2 linked regions of the Styela clava genome follow. The protein of the gene in region 2 purifies or fractionates together with the protein of the main gene of each other region. This does not show direct contact. Links are inferred from orthologs where the notes say so. Each region holds a gene or a part of one and is shown on either strand. Other genes may lie near its edges.

What was found. Proteins that work in one complex are often made in the same cells at the same time.
Region 1: the proteins of ubiquitin-protein ligase E3A-like (region 2) and 26S proteasome non-ATPase regulatory subunit 12-like purify together in Homo sapiens (affinity purification with mass spectrometry; 4 studies listed by BioGRID and IntAct, with this or other methods). This does not show direct contact. The link is inferred for Styela clava from reciprocal best matches to the Homo sapiens genes UBE3A and PSMD12.

The regions. Positions count from the first base shown.
Region 1 is NC_135250.1:4,207,194-4,215,222, forward strand, and holds the start of 26S proteasome non-ATPase regulatory subunit 12-like, read left to right. Parts: upstream 1-5,010; 5' UTR 5,011-5,120; coding exon 5,121-5,210; intron 5,211-6,495; coding exon 6,496-6,555; intron 6,556-6,907; coding exon 6,908-7,036; intron 7,037-7,951; coding exon 7,952-8,029. Other genes in the region: phenylalanine--tRNA ligase alpha subunit-like, read right to left, coding at 2,627-4,114.
Region 2 is NC_135263.1:13,868,387-13,875,604, reverse strand, and holds the start of ubiquitin-protein ligase E3A-like, read right to left. Parts: upstream 3,090-7,218; 5' UTR 2,966-3,089; coding exon 2,934-2,965; intron 2,497-2,933; exon of another isoform or gene 2,231-2,496; coding exon of another isoform or gene 2,223-2,230; intron 1,531-2,222; coding exon 1,272-1,530; intron 240-1,271; coding exon 1-239. Other genes in the region: histone H2A-like, read left to right, coding at 4,937-5,326; heparan sulfate glucosamine 3-O-sulfotransferase 6-like, read right to left, coding at 5,549-5,857, 6,356-6,637, 7,165-7,218. UniProt on the Homo sapiens protein: E3 ubiquitin-protein ligase which accepts ubiquitin from an E2 ubiquitin-conjugating enzyme in the form of a thioester and transfers it to its substrates.

The DNA.
Region 1 (8,029 bases), on a different chromosome or scaffold from region 2:
ACCGTACCGGTACCCATGCAATCACTCGTGAAAGAATGGGAGATGATGAGTGATTGTATGGCTACCGGTACGGTCAGACGCAAAGCGACTATAACCGACTACCGGTATTTGGTAAGACGGTACGGTACCGGCATCGCGAGTGTCCAGACAACTGAGTAGTTAAGCAGCATTCTCCAATTAAATTACCTTATACACGTAAAAACAAATTTTCCGAATTTTCGTATTCAATTCTATATTCTCTTATCATTATTATAAATATATTACTTCTTGTTGAACTTGTAGCATGGAGAATTTATAGAACATTTTCATATTGAATATTGCTCAAGAAAATCAGTAGTGAGTTTGAAACCCAGGGAACACATTTGTGCGCGTAGGATTATGCCTGACAACGTTGGTCCCAAGCAGAAGCAAATTTTCTAAAAATAAAAACGCGTGACAACGATGGGCCACGAGGCGGACCATCGTTGTCAACCTTTTTATTTTCTTTTTATTCAATTTTTTTTTTAATTTTTTTTTTTTTTAATTTTTTTTTTTTTTTTTCGTTTCTATTTATTTATTTTGTTTTAATTTTAATTTTTTTTTTAATTTTTTTTTTAATTATTTTTATGTTTTTTTACAAAAAAATTTTTATTATCGGTTTTTTATTTTATTTTTTATTTTTATTTTCAATTTTACGCGTGACAACGATGGGCCACCATACTTGTCACACTGGCTCCGCTCAATCGCAATGTTGTCACTCCGATTATTTTCGAAGATAAAACCTTTCGAAAAATCCGTAAAGTTTCTGTCAATTCTCACGTAGTAAAAGTTATTTCAGTACAATAAAAATACATAAATAAATACAAAAAGTGATCGAATATACTTTAATTATCTTATATATCATCACAAACCGGGGAAAAGTCGCGTCCTCAGCTTTGTTTAATGTTAACAAGAAAATTTTCGACGTCAATTTAAAAGTAAGGGATAAAAAGGCAAATCCCGCTCACAATTGCCCGTGTTTCGATTTTAGTGACGAAATGTTTTTAAAGGTCAAGCAAACATAACTTGTGCCGTAGGCACATTTTCGATGCCTAGAAAAGCGTTTTTAGACTGTCGCGGGCCTCAACAAAACTTATATTGTTTACAGTTTTATTTTTAGTATTTTATATTGCCACTTTTCAACTTTTCGACATAGTAAATGCTTTGATCTTTGCCCGCAAATTATGCTGGGCCTTGCACGAAATCCATAACGTGAAAAGATACGTCCAGCGGTGAAAATTGTTTATAACAACTTTAGATCTAGTTAATTTTTTAGCGATAATAATTAATTGTTGTAATGAAACACAGTTTGCCACTTTCACTTCTCTCGCAAGTGCCAACAATAACACTATTGAAAGATTTTGACAATGAGAAAATCATGTTAAATTGTACAAAAATGAATTAGTTGTGTAAAACCGTGGCGTGTGATCGGCGGTGCGTTTGAAGACGGAGTATTACCCATGCGGGCGCGCATGTTTCACAAAATTGTGAGGTGCTCGGAAGGCGATCTGGTCCAAATTATTGTAAGAAAACATTTATAATATCGGTAACTATTACCGTTTAATTGCGCTTGACTATCGCACTTTTCGGAAATGATAATTTTGTAAGGCGGAAACAACATGTATTACATTTTTTTGCGAAATTATTGGGGGGGCGACCGCCCCTGGTTTTAGGGGATATTTCCACATTGAGGGGGTGGTGTATATTTTGTTGGTGATAAAACATGTATTTGACTGGAGCATTTGCACCGGCATATATACGCCACTTTGAATATGTAAGTTAAGAAGACCATCTCAATTTTAGGGGGGCAATAGGGAAATCAGTGGTAAAGTGAACAGCTGTTTATTCTTCTTCTATTCAATAACGCCAAAGCATTGGTTCATCCTGACCAAATAACTGTATGTAGCTTCAAGATAAAACAAAGTTCTAGATTTGATAACATTTATTTTAGTTCACCACAACAATGAGTAAGACTTCTACAAAGTTTCAAACTTTTTCATAAATAAATGATTGCAGCAGGTTTAAATACACATAATATGATCATTTGTATAACTTTATTGTCTGCTGCAAAGAGGTTCAGGATTTGAAAAATTGGGAATTGTTTTTATTTTGCTTGGTTGAAAGATGTTTATATATAGAATGCACAAAATCAGATCTACACAAAATCCGTACGTCTGCTATTTGCTTATTGAGTGGTGAATTTTGTTGCATTTCAAATAATTGTTTACATCAGACAAATTGGTAAGCCAAAATTAAGCTTATATATTTACTTGGTCTGACGTAATACCTAGTCGAATAATATTCATATGAAAGCCGTTGACTATTTAAATAGCATTTAAAAACTTTAACATTGGCATATGATTTTCAAACATAGAGACAATAACATATGGGAACAGAAATACAACATTGTAGAAGAAGAAAAAAATTAAAAAGGTCGGGTGCTATTCCTGAAAAGCAACACCTAATAAAGTTGTAGAATGGTGGCAAAGCAGCAATCTGAATCCCAGGCTCCAACGATCTTTTATCAAACAAGGTTCCTATATTCGTTCAGTCTCGTGATGTAGTCTTATACCATGATATAGTTAATTGCACAAAGCTGTTTATTTAATCAAAAGTCCATTCTACAGACAGGGTTATCTTGTACCATTTGTAAATTGATTTTATGGCCGACCAAATCCCTGATATTATCTATACCATATTTTATCATTGTCGGACGTTCTAATGACAAACCCCATGCGATAACATTAACATCTTCCGGAAGGCCCATTGGTAATAACATTTCGGGTCGGAAAATTCCAGAATTTCCAACTTCTACCCATTTTTTGAGTCCTTCGTGGTAGCTGAATATTTCCATTGATGGTTCAGTGTATGGGTTGTAAGCTGGCTTGAAACGTAACTTTGTAATACCAAGTTTATGAAAGAACGCTTGTAGCACTCCCATAAGATCTCCAAGAGTTACGCTGTAATCTGCAACTACACCTTCCACTTGGTGGAACTCGGCGAGATGAGTTGCATCCAAAGATTCGTTTCGAAACACTCTATCTATTGAGAAGTATTTACTGGGTTTAAATCCTTCTTTAGCAAGTTTATACAGCATCCTGGCGCTCACAGCTGTAGTGTGAGTACGAAGTAAATTTTTCTTCGCTTCCGAGTACTTCCAGTCGTAACAATACCCTTGCGAACCGAAACCACCTTCTGAGTGAACTCTTTTAACTTTTTCTGCATAGTCAGCTGGAAAAGTGTCACACTCCGCAGGGTCGGAAATGAAAAAAGTGTCATGAGCGTCTCTAGCTGGATGTTGCTGAGGTTGGAACAAGGCGTCAAAATTCCAGAATGAGCTTTCTACATAATTATTCGTTGGCATTTCTGTGAACCCCATTTCAAGAAATATTTGTCGATAAACAGATCGTACTTTCAAAAGGGGATGCAAGTGTCCTGCTGAAGGTTTGATACCCATCGCAGAGTAGTTGTAATCTTTAAAAGTTGTTGTTTTCCATGAGCCATCTTGTATCATTTGAGCTGTGAGATCCGTTGCTGCCTTCTCAATTTTCGTTGTGAACTTTTCACCTTTCGTAACATCAAAACTCTTTATAGTAACTTCCTCCACTAATTTACGTTTTTTCAACTCCGCCCTATCTTTGTCAGGAATGGGAGATCCTTGTTTTATTCTTGATAAATTATCTCTAACAATATCAGTTGGGTTTACGCCATCAGCGACAAAAATCTTCGGTGCGCCACCCGATTTGTCCACTTTGATCCATCTATTAGACATCGCCTTGCTGAAGCCAATTTTATCATTTTTATCTTTCACCAGTTCAGATTGCGCAATACCATCTGCTGGAACTCTTTTGAAAATATTAAACTCATAACTTCCACTTGATTCGAGCTTTTTACCCTCGGTTGAGAGAACCCAATTTTTGTCTGTTTTCTGTGAGGCGTCTATCACGCCTTCATGAACTTGTAAGCTTTTTATTAAACCGACAATTTTTTGATGTTCCAAATTTTTGGTTTTTGCGTATGAAATTGAGTTGACACGTTCATTCAATTCCAAGAATTGCAATAACTCAGTTGCCATATCTACTTCTTTCTCAGTCATATTTACTGAATAGTGCTGAAATGAATTACGATAAGTTGTAATGCACTAGCGACTAGCCTAGTAAAAAAAAAGACATTTCATTAAACCAATGGCAGAATGGCACAGCTCCAGCAATAATTTGCTTTCTATAGGCTCTGCATAAACTTTCAATAGACTTATAGAGTTATGCTCGAAGAGTCAAATATATGGACACGAAAAAATAATACTGTAATAGCCTTCTAGCGAAAAATACAATTTTCAATCACTGAAAATTGCAAAGCAATTGGTGATCCAGTTGGTAAAAAAAAGTCATTTTTTCATAACGATAAGAAGAAAAATACCGAGAAAAACAACAACAAAAAATAAAACGATGCATGGATCCACTTGTGTGTCCAATAAATACTACCGCCTGCCTGCATGATGTAACACTTCGAAATTATGAAGTGGACACCCTACTCTCCAACGTGGATAAACATTTGAATGTACCAAATTTATCTCCGCGAGTGGGCGCAAGTGACCATTGTGCAAGGAGTCGTATCCGGTTGCTTGATTGTTCATTTTTCGTGAATGTTGCAACGGAATTGTGCATCGAAGGTTATAACACGAAACTTTGCTTATTTTGATGAGTTTTAAAAAAAATTGGCAGAAGATGTCGTTTTACCACTTTTTTATACTTGTGTTCAAAGTTGAATTTTACAATATTTAGAAAGTTTTGGTCTAATTATACATAAAATCCAATCTTGCGAGAGGCAAAGAATAGCTCAAAAATTAACAAATATATCTATTTAAAATATAGTTAGTCATTTTAAGCAGGCTTGTTTATATATTTACGTTAATATAAAAATTTAACCCGATATCACCATCCGCAATTTGTTGAGGGTTTCACTAGGTGGCGACATTTTTGCTTAGTAATACTGATAACATTACTCGGCATAATCTGAGTTGAGCGTTTTGTTGTAGTCTGCTGTTCTGCGCTTGAATACCATTGATAATTTCTCTTGTACAACGCGATTTTGGGAAATAAATAATGGCGTCCGAAGGTAAACTAGAGAAAATGGAAGTTGATTACTCAACAACGGTGGACAGGGTAATTCCAGAATGCCAACAAGTTGCAGCGGTGAGAACTGTTTTGCATTGTAGCAGAATTTAGGATTTTTTCGTTTTGTAATAGATTCCTGTGTTGCTATTTCATTATCCAGGTCTACTTTATTATAATTTACGAGCCATGTTCACAACCACTGTATTTCGTGCCAATCATCTTTTGTTTATTAATTATCACCAGGTAAGACGATTGCCTTACCGATATCAAACGGTAAAATCTTATCTAATCTTAAACCATTAGTGTTTTTGTGTTTCCTGATTCTATTCAGACCCCTTGGACAGTGGTTCTTAATGTATGGGTCGCGACCCAAACATGGGTCGCGGAAGGTTTAAGAATGGGTCGCGACAAGGTCGTCAATCTAAGAGGAGAAGGACGAACTTTCAGCTTTCCCAATGTTTCAATTTAGCTTCTAAACTCTGGTATTTAAAAATAATGAAATATAAAATTTCATTCACGGGGAGAACTGTCTTGAGCTCATTGTTACATCACAATTCTGATATGCCAGTCACGTGTATTATTTTTATGGTATCGGTAACCATGCACGTCGCTTGTCGTTGTGTTAACCGCGTGGAATGTCGTCGTAGTGGATTAAAATAACCAAAAATGGGTGTCTTTTTGGTAATGTAAATTGTAATAGACGACGCAATGAAAAAGCTCGCTTCTCGACATTGGATTATTCAATATCTAGAGAAAATGTGACTTCTCGAGGCACCATTTACTGCGAACGAAGCAGTGTGTGCACATTTGATGAGGAAAAAAGTTGTATATTGCGAGAGATACCGAAGGCCAGCTAGGATGTCATGTTTGCGACAGACAGCGGACACCTTTTCTGCAACAATTCGCGACAAGGCACTTGTGCGAGCGAGGATATTTGGCACTGACGGTTATCAAAACTAAGCTCGCAATTGCCTCGATACCCGTGACAACTTGCGTATTGCGTTAAGTAAAATAGAGCTGTGTATTGAAGATATAATGAAAAGGAAATTTCAGTTTCATCAATCTCACTGAGTCAATGGACTGTTTCTAATAAATAGTTGTCTGTATTTGAGTCAAACTGTACTAACATTAAAAACACATTTTGCGTTATTTAGGATTGGGTCGCGAGTATTCATAAAACTCAGATTTGGGTCGCGCTCGAAAAAGTTTAAGAACCACTGCCTTGGAACAATTCTTTCAGTAGTCGCATGTTTCTTTTGTATTATCTAGTTTCGGCCGTATTATTTGAAAAATGAGGTTTAGTAATTTTTGCCTTTTTACTTTAGCGATAGATATTTATTTAGACTACTATTCTGTATTTCAGGATGGAAAACTCAATGATGCCGTGGATAAATTATTGGCACTAGAAAAACAGACAAGATTGGTGAGTAGGTTAACGTTTGCCTAAACCTGTAAACCAACTTTTCTTCGTTCTTATATGACTGGAAAGAAATTATATATTGAAATCCGTCGATAATTCTGAATGCTCTTGAACTTTCCTTCACAGCTGTAATGTTTATGCAAATATGTCTGTATGTGTCATGATATTTATGTCTCCCCAGACCTCACAAAGTTCATTTTTCAAACTTGAAAATTATTCTGGGAAGTTGACTAAGATTTTGCAGCTCTTTTTTTCTGACTCTTTTCCATTTTGATCCTGAGGCAATTTTTTTGAGGCGTTCCAAAAATGATCATATACACAACAAATAGTTTTGTAATTTCGACTTTTTTTTAAGGCTGGTGATATGATCTCGACCGGGAAACTTCTTGTGACCATTGTGAAACTCTGCTTTGAAGCAAAAGAATGGGACATGCTCAACGATAATATTATTGTCATCACGAAGAAAAGAAGCCAACTCAAACAAGTATGTTTAGATGTTTTTGATAAATTTTTCTCTAGACAAGGCTTTGACCAGCACACATTTATGTATAAAGAATGAAAAAGACAAAATTCTTTTATAAGGGTAGGTTCAGCTCACTCAAGTTAATATACTTATATATTTATTTATATGCTCAAATGATTGCTGTTAAAAAAATATCAAATTGAAAGAAAAAATGACAATATCTTGTGATGATCGTCCGAAATAACTTCCTCCCTCACTTTCTATAATATCTACTATAGTTATGCACAAGTATTTGTACAGTTTTGATTAATTTATATTATATGTACATAAATAAGTATTATAGATATAGTAATAATGATAATAAACAACTAATAAATATAAATACTATAGCAAATACAAGGCTAAATTTCTCTCCAAGAAGAACAAAATTCTTCCAGGATTTCCCAGTTGGGCAACGTATGTTTCTAAACCTTAACTTTTTAAGTCTAGTTGAACATTTTTGAATCATAAATGACTTTTATTACTTATCGATCTTAAGGTTAGTAATATGTTGATAGGTATTTGTCTGTCTGTATGTCTGTTTGTCTGTATGTTAGATGCACGCGATATCTCACGAAAGCGAGGTTGAATCTGCTCCAAATTTTGCATGTGCATTCATCATAGCTCGGATCAGAAGCCTATTAATTTTGGATGGATTATGTCTTATAATTAGCGAGTTATTAAATAATTAGTGATGGGACACACAGTGTCACTATGGAGTAAGACCACTGTTTTTGGGGAACCCCTAACCTTCGATTGATAAGTCTTCGGTTTCTAACCGATATTCTAGTTTTCCTTCTTATTCAAGTTCTAATAAATAGTAATTCATTGCATATGTCTATGTATTTCATTATGTAAACATGTCGCCCCTTGTTAAAATTTACATTCGTTTTTCAGGCAGTTGCAAAGATGGTTCAAGAATGCTATAAATATGTTGATCAAACACCTGATATGGAAACTAAATTAAAATTGATT
Region 2 (7,218 bases):
CGAATTATCTCCATATTCGATTCACTTAAGAGTGGCTTTGTTTCCACATCGGATGAAGGTGTTTTATTATTGGTGTCCATAGCACTAGGCATATTATCTGATAGCGACACATTCCCGGTACTTCCATTTTCAGATTTGTTATGCCCAGCAGATATGGAAGAAGAAGAACTCTGTGATGAATTGATTTCTTCACTTTGTAATAAACAAATTTCAGCCTTTTCACGAACCAATTTGATTGCCTTTCAAAAGAACATATCATGAGTCAATGACATGAGAACAATCATATTTTAAACTTATTGTCCATCCTCAAACGACCAAAGATAGTAAGGTATTAGAATAAGATAAAAATAATAGTCTAATTAATACAAATGTATCGACAGCTAACAAAGTTGACTATTAAGTGCTTGGTGGTGTGGCCCAAGAGTTAACAATACAATTTCCAACACACCTCCTCTGATTACCTTGTATGGGTTCACAGGTTTGAATCCTGTGGAGAATGATTATGTGCAAAAAGATTGCTGGACTCCTTGGCGCGGTAGGGTGGTTCATGACATCAATTGGTCACAGCTTCTTTCATCAATCTGAATCATCTATCCCAGGCACGTCCAACCTTTTTAGTGTTGCGGGCCACTTTCAAATGGGGAAATTCGATGCGGGCCACAAACGTTTTTAGCAAACTTAAATAGCAACCCATTTCTGATTTACGTTAGAATTTGAGCGTCGCTGAATCATACGCCTGTATTGCGCAACAATTTTGCGGATTTCTGAACACAAGATTCACACAAAGACCATGCACCATGAAATTCAACTCAACTTTTATGCAATATGCAGATACATTGATTGCCAATGATCAATCTTTCAATCAATTTAATACCGCTTTTTTTACGGCGGAGGCCCGTGAAATTATAGCCTTAAAATCTAGTAAGATTTGATATCGTACCAGGAAATTTTTATGTCTTATATGTCCGTATTCACATAAAAACTTCAAGTGGGCTGCACGAATTCTTGCCGTGGGCTGCATGCGGCCGCAGGCTGGACATCTCTGATCTATCCCATACCCAGCATAGACTGGTAACTAGTCGAGATGTCGTGGTTCGCCATCTTATCGGCTTCCATCTCCCCCAGGATAAAGATGTAAATCCTATCTTATTCTAAGAGTAGCATATGATATCAATTAGGTTTCTGAAAGACCAACTACATATTATACTCATCTAGTACATCACAATTTATACCTGTATTTTTGAGCAATTAATCTATGCAATTTACATTACCTTCAGTGCGGCATCATTTTCTGATAACTTTTTCCACGAAGGATTTGATGCACAATTTGGATTAGTACAATTTTCTCTTTTGCATCCTTGAGTCAGCCTATGAAAATATTGCTCTATTTTTCGTTTTATAGCTTGTTGCTTCAAATTTGTTTGGTTGCTGTTTGAAGACATTTTTGCTGCTGTCGACACAGAGCAATTTTGATTTGCTTCGATACCGTTAGAGTTGGATGGCTCTGTATTTGATGTTACTTCAGAGTTCCTGAAAACATATAAAATCTGATATGAATTGCTAGATTGTAATATTATAATTGGTAATCAATCATTAAAAAAAACACTGACAGACTGAGAAAAATCAATCAATGTATTGATCTTTCATCAATAACATGGAACAGGATTTAGGTTGGCTCACTCACTTCGCGGCCATCAACTTCATCGATTAATTTAATACTGAAAAAATTAACGAACCGCGAAAATATTTCTCACGCATTTTCGTCCACTTATCCCTCGTAGCTCTGCGAAATTACACTAAAATGCGGCCACAAACAAAAAAGTTACGACTGAAAACCCGCCCGAAGAAAAAAAACGGACCATTTTTTCATGTCGCCAACTACCCATTGTCCCCTCAAAAAAGCTTGAAAATCTATACAAATATAGGAGATAGAAAGATGAAACTTGGCAGGTGGGTAGAGTTGTGGTTCTTTTAACCATCCGCGTTTCAACATTTAAAGGAGGGGGAATAGGGGGGTGCCCATTTCCAATACGTCGATAATATCTTTGTCGACCAATTTGCGATCACCGTGTTTTTGCCTGTTTGAATGCTGTGATGCGGTGCTTTGTTTATAATTTGACGAGTTGTGTTCGAAATAACCGTGTTCTTAAAATATATGACGGTCAGAAGTGCAATTAGAAGCCCAATTTTTTCACGCATGGCTGCGTATGTGCTAGTCTCACCGCAGCATAAGCGATGTTCAAGGCTTGAAATCCGCGGTCGCACACTGGTCGTTCGGTCGCAAACACGTCTTCCGAGTGTCGTACTTTGATGGTTTGTAGACTATAGCTTTAATCCCTAGTCGTAGAAAGTTAATTCGAGGATTACCGTGTAGAATAAATGCCAATGCACATACGGTGAAAAAATTAACGGGTTAGAAATATTAGTTTTTATTTTTCATAGCGGTTTGAATGAAATCGTCCGCAGACTGGCTGCACCACCCTACCAGTCACTCAGTCAGCAGGTACAATTTTTTTCATGCTTATCCCATGGGATATTAAACCAGATCAAGTACCGTATAAGACTATCGAATATGGTGAACCACAACCCCTCATCTGAATAGTAGCTCATGCAGATGCATGTACAGATCTGCAGATGTACGGTATGAAAATAGTTAACACTATAACATGATACCGTATTTATTGCAGGTATATAGTCTAACTCTTGAGGCGGATTTCAAAGGGTCTACCGGTAGCGAAGTAAACATCATACGGCTGTACGGTACGGTAGCTTTTTGAAATGACGCCAAACAAAAAAGTGATGTGGAATACGGTAACAATGATGGAAGGTTGAAAACACCTAATTGAAATCCCCTCGCCACAGTCCAGTAGTCAAGTTCGGTACTATGTTAGGATTATTTCGATCATACAAAATAGAAAATCATGTTAACGCACCTATCCCCAGGCTGGTCTCCATCAATATCCATTCCCAAACTCGTTACTTGAAACAGAACAACGCAACCGACGTTAAATTACATAGGCTATGCACTAAATGCCGTCCAGTGACTCCATAATACAGAAGTGACGTGTTGGTTCGTTTTCTGGCATATTGCACGCGTCATAGGGAACAGGAATGCCATCCCGCAATTTTCATTAAAAACCACAACTGAGATTTATACACCTCTTGAACACAAAACACGAGTCCAAAACTACATCGATTTGATCACAATAATTGAACAACTCGGTTGCGCTCTTGCTAAATCTTTAAAAATCAAAATAGTATATCAAAGATCAATGTGTTGTTGACTTTATATAACAGCTCCGATAAAGTTGGCCAGTTTTCTTAATCAGTTTCCTCTCGTTATCCTTTACCGTCTTGTCATTTTCAAAAGTTATCTCTAGTAATGTATTCTTTCAGATAATCTACTAAACAATTCAGCAATCAGTATGTACATTTGTCCTCTTCGTATGTTGATATCTGACTTGGGACTCGGGAGTGTAGTGACTCGGCTTCGGCAATCGAATTATTTATGGATACGGACGACCCATGACTTGCTTGAAAGGAAGGAGTCTTACAACCAACACTGGATATAACATACACAAGAATGGATACACAAGAAGTGTCCACAGTAGAGATGTACCGATACCACTTTTGTCGCTGATACCGATACCAACTAAAAACGCAGATACCGATATCCAAAAAAGCCGATACTATGTAATTATTGTGTGTAATTAAATGTGCAGGGCAGATGGATTAAAACAATAGCCCCTTTCATAGTGCACTTCAGATTGAAAAAGAGATATATCACATAATAAGAAATTGATGTTTGGGATCCCGATGCGTTAATTGAATCAGATGCATTGTGCACCTACACTAGTAATCTCGGTGTTCAATTTAAAAACTCATAGTGTTGGCTACTGCGGGTTGTTAATAATAAACGAATGTTTACTCATCCTATTAAACTGATACATTGAGTTACAGGATTTTGTGCCAATATAACGACATATTTTGTATTTTACACATTGGAAAATCAACTAATATTTAATTGATATATTTCTTCATAATTACTAGATAGTATTAAAAATATCAATATAAAAATTTGGCAGCAAAAATATCCAAATTAGTTGAGCTAGTTTGTTCAATAAATAGCTAAAAATAGGTCAGAATCCGATTTCCGTTTCTACTCGCGGGGGTAGGGACGTGCATGGCTCATAGTTCACGATTTATCCAAGAAAAAAAAATTCAACATCAGTATTCTAACTTATTTTTTAAAACTTCCTGGATCAGATTAAAAAGATAAATATATCGGAAATACAGGTCTACATTTAGTCGATACCGATACCCAAAATTTGACCCATATTGCCGATACCGATACATTTCTAGTATATATATATAGTGGTGACAGTCAATGAGGATTTCAGTAGGATCGATTTACAAAAGTGGATTGACAATGTCAAGTTTAAAATACCGGTTTTTAAAAAATTTATTAAAGTTCTCATGTCAAAATTTACGAAACTAAACATTTGATAAATGAATTTTATTATCATATATATATACATTATAGGCTATTAGTAATTTACAAAAACTTTATAAATATGTTGTGTATTGCACTTCGCGCGTTCATATTTTAAATATCATTTTACCAATAAAATATCAACGTTCAATACAAGGTCCTTGATTTTTCCCAACTAGTATAACTATAAGTTTGAATTCTATTTGTATTTTTCTGAAAAATCTTCCTGCTTTCTATTTGTAAGTGAACAAGAATACGAGCATGTTTCTATCAATATTTCATGCTCTGTTGCATCCTTCACAAAAATCAGTCACCGTTAAAACTAATAATAATTATCACATTCGTCGCCGTCAATTATTTGCTCCATTTGCATTTCTCGGTACAGTCGGTCGGGTCGTCCGTTTGGTGATCTTAATTTAGCATTGTCGGATAACTTCTGTAAACATGTCTGGAAGAGGCAAGGGCAGCAAGAATAAGACTAAATCTAAAACAAGATCATCTCGAGCTGGGCTGCAATTTCCTGTGGGACGAGTACATCGGCTTCTAAGAAAAGGCAATTATGCTGAGCGTGTCGGAGCAGGTGCACCAGTATACCTCGCAGCCGTATTAGAGTACCTCAGTGCTGAAGTACTTGAATTAGCGGGAAATGCTGCCAGAGATAATAAAAAGAGCCGAATAATACCTCGTCACTTACAGCTTGCCATTAGAAACGACGAAGAATTAAATAAGCTACTTGGAGGAGTAACAATATCCCAAGGAGGTGTGATACCAAATATTCAATCCGTGCTTTTACCGAAAAAGACTGGAAACAAACCAATGTCGCAAAGCATTTAATTTCTAATGCATTTTGACTAATGCATTTCATCAATTTAATGTAACGTTTTGAACTGCTATACACAATTTTAAGTGTTTGTTGAGGTACGTTAACTAATCTCATAAATACATCTAATACAGTGCACATAAGAATAAGCATATTTGACAGTATGGGTTAGCGTTGTGGATTAGATATGACGGGCAAACAAAATATCCGCAATTGGTAGAAATATCTTCTGATGTTTACATCATGTTATAGTCAATACCGGTCATCTGGTACAGTTCTTCATTGAAAGGCTCGAAAAGCGCCTTTAGCCTGGCTACATGTTTTATGTTGGCATCCATCCCACCGTCTTTGTGACGGGTTCTACCTTTGGTTTTCGACAGACAACTAAGATTTTCTTCCCATCCGGCAACAGAGTTAGTTTCAGCGGTAAAGTTGTAGTTCTTCCACCAAGGTCGGACACAGAAAAATCCATTTGATGGATTTTTGACAAAGTCACCTTCACGAAGTAGTTTCGGTATTCCAAGAAAATCTTGTATTCTTTCCATCTGCAACGAAATGTTAACTAATTCATGAGTTTTTCGCTACATACATTAATTCCGCATGCAAATGCAACTGAAACACGTCTTCGTGCTTTTCCTTTCACGAGCGTAAGTTAATCATGGAGTTAAAGAGTTACTGTGTTACATCATCTGAATATAGCATAAAGCGCAGGTTGGACCTTTACAAACTTTTATTTTATTCACTGTTATGAAGAAATCGGATGTTGCTTCATTTGTGAGCTAGCCGCGCGAATAACTATTTACGGTATTCGCGCTATACACGTAATGTCACAAAGAAAAGCTAAGGTCAATCCGGGCCGCGACTGGTTGGTTTCTTGTCCCCTTTCACGAGCTTTGCAGCTCTGCCGATACTTGATATCTAGGCTACATTGACTCACTGGGCGTTTTTTTTTCAATTTTAACCGCGCGACAGCTTTCAATGTTGGAAAGTCCCAAAATCCTTTTGAACATTATAATCGGCAAATTGTGTTTAAAAAGGTCTACCTGCACTCCGGGATTGTTCAAAATATCTTCCCCACTGATAACCATGAGACGTGACGAGTTGAACAGTTCAGTCCACCGAGGAAGAAAAACTGAATAAAATCCTGTTGTTAACAACGTAGCAGCGTGATCTTTATAATAATTAGACATATGATTGTAGAGTGTGGTTGAGGTGTTTAGAGATGTGGATCTGTTCACTCTGTCGAGATAAAAATCCAAATACGAGTCAAACGTTTCGAATTCTGCCACGTCCCGGTTTTTCGAGGATATCTCGTATCTCGCCCTCTGTGAAGAATGAAAAAATGATATTTCAGGCTTTTCAGCCGTTGTAACGTTTAAATAAAATGAGGGAATTTTTAGGAATAAGTTTAAGAAAAAGATGAAGGTTGGGGTATATCCATAACATTACATTCTGTGATAGATTGCCGCACTAGGATTTCAGATATCGGACCATTTAAACGACCCTTTACAAGTTTACACCAAGACGCGAAAATTTTTTGACGGCCTACTCATTTTCGAGTAGCTACTGATGCTAAATGCTAAAACTTACTATCTTGCAAAATTTAGGGGCATCACAAATGTAGTATAGACAGGCCGGGAAAACCAACGAGTAATGAATCATTATGATGTGACATCATTGTACTGTGTATCTCAAAACAATGCGTTCAATAGAACGAAGAAAGTATATTAAATCGAAACGGAGCTTAACAATAGTTTATACCACTCGGTTACGTTTGCAGAAATGCTGTTTATTGTGCTGGACCTTACACGCTAAAATCTTTAATGTTATCTACTGCAAGAAGATTTTTCACCTCGTGAGCATAATCCGAGAAGCTCCTCTTCACAGGATCACATACAACCAAAAT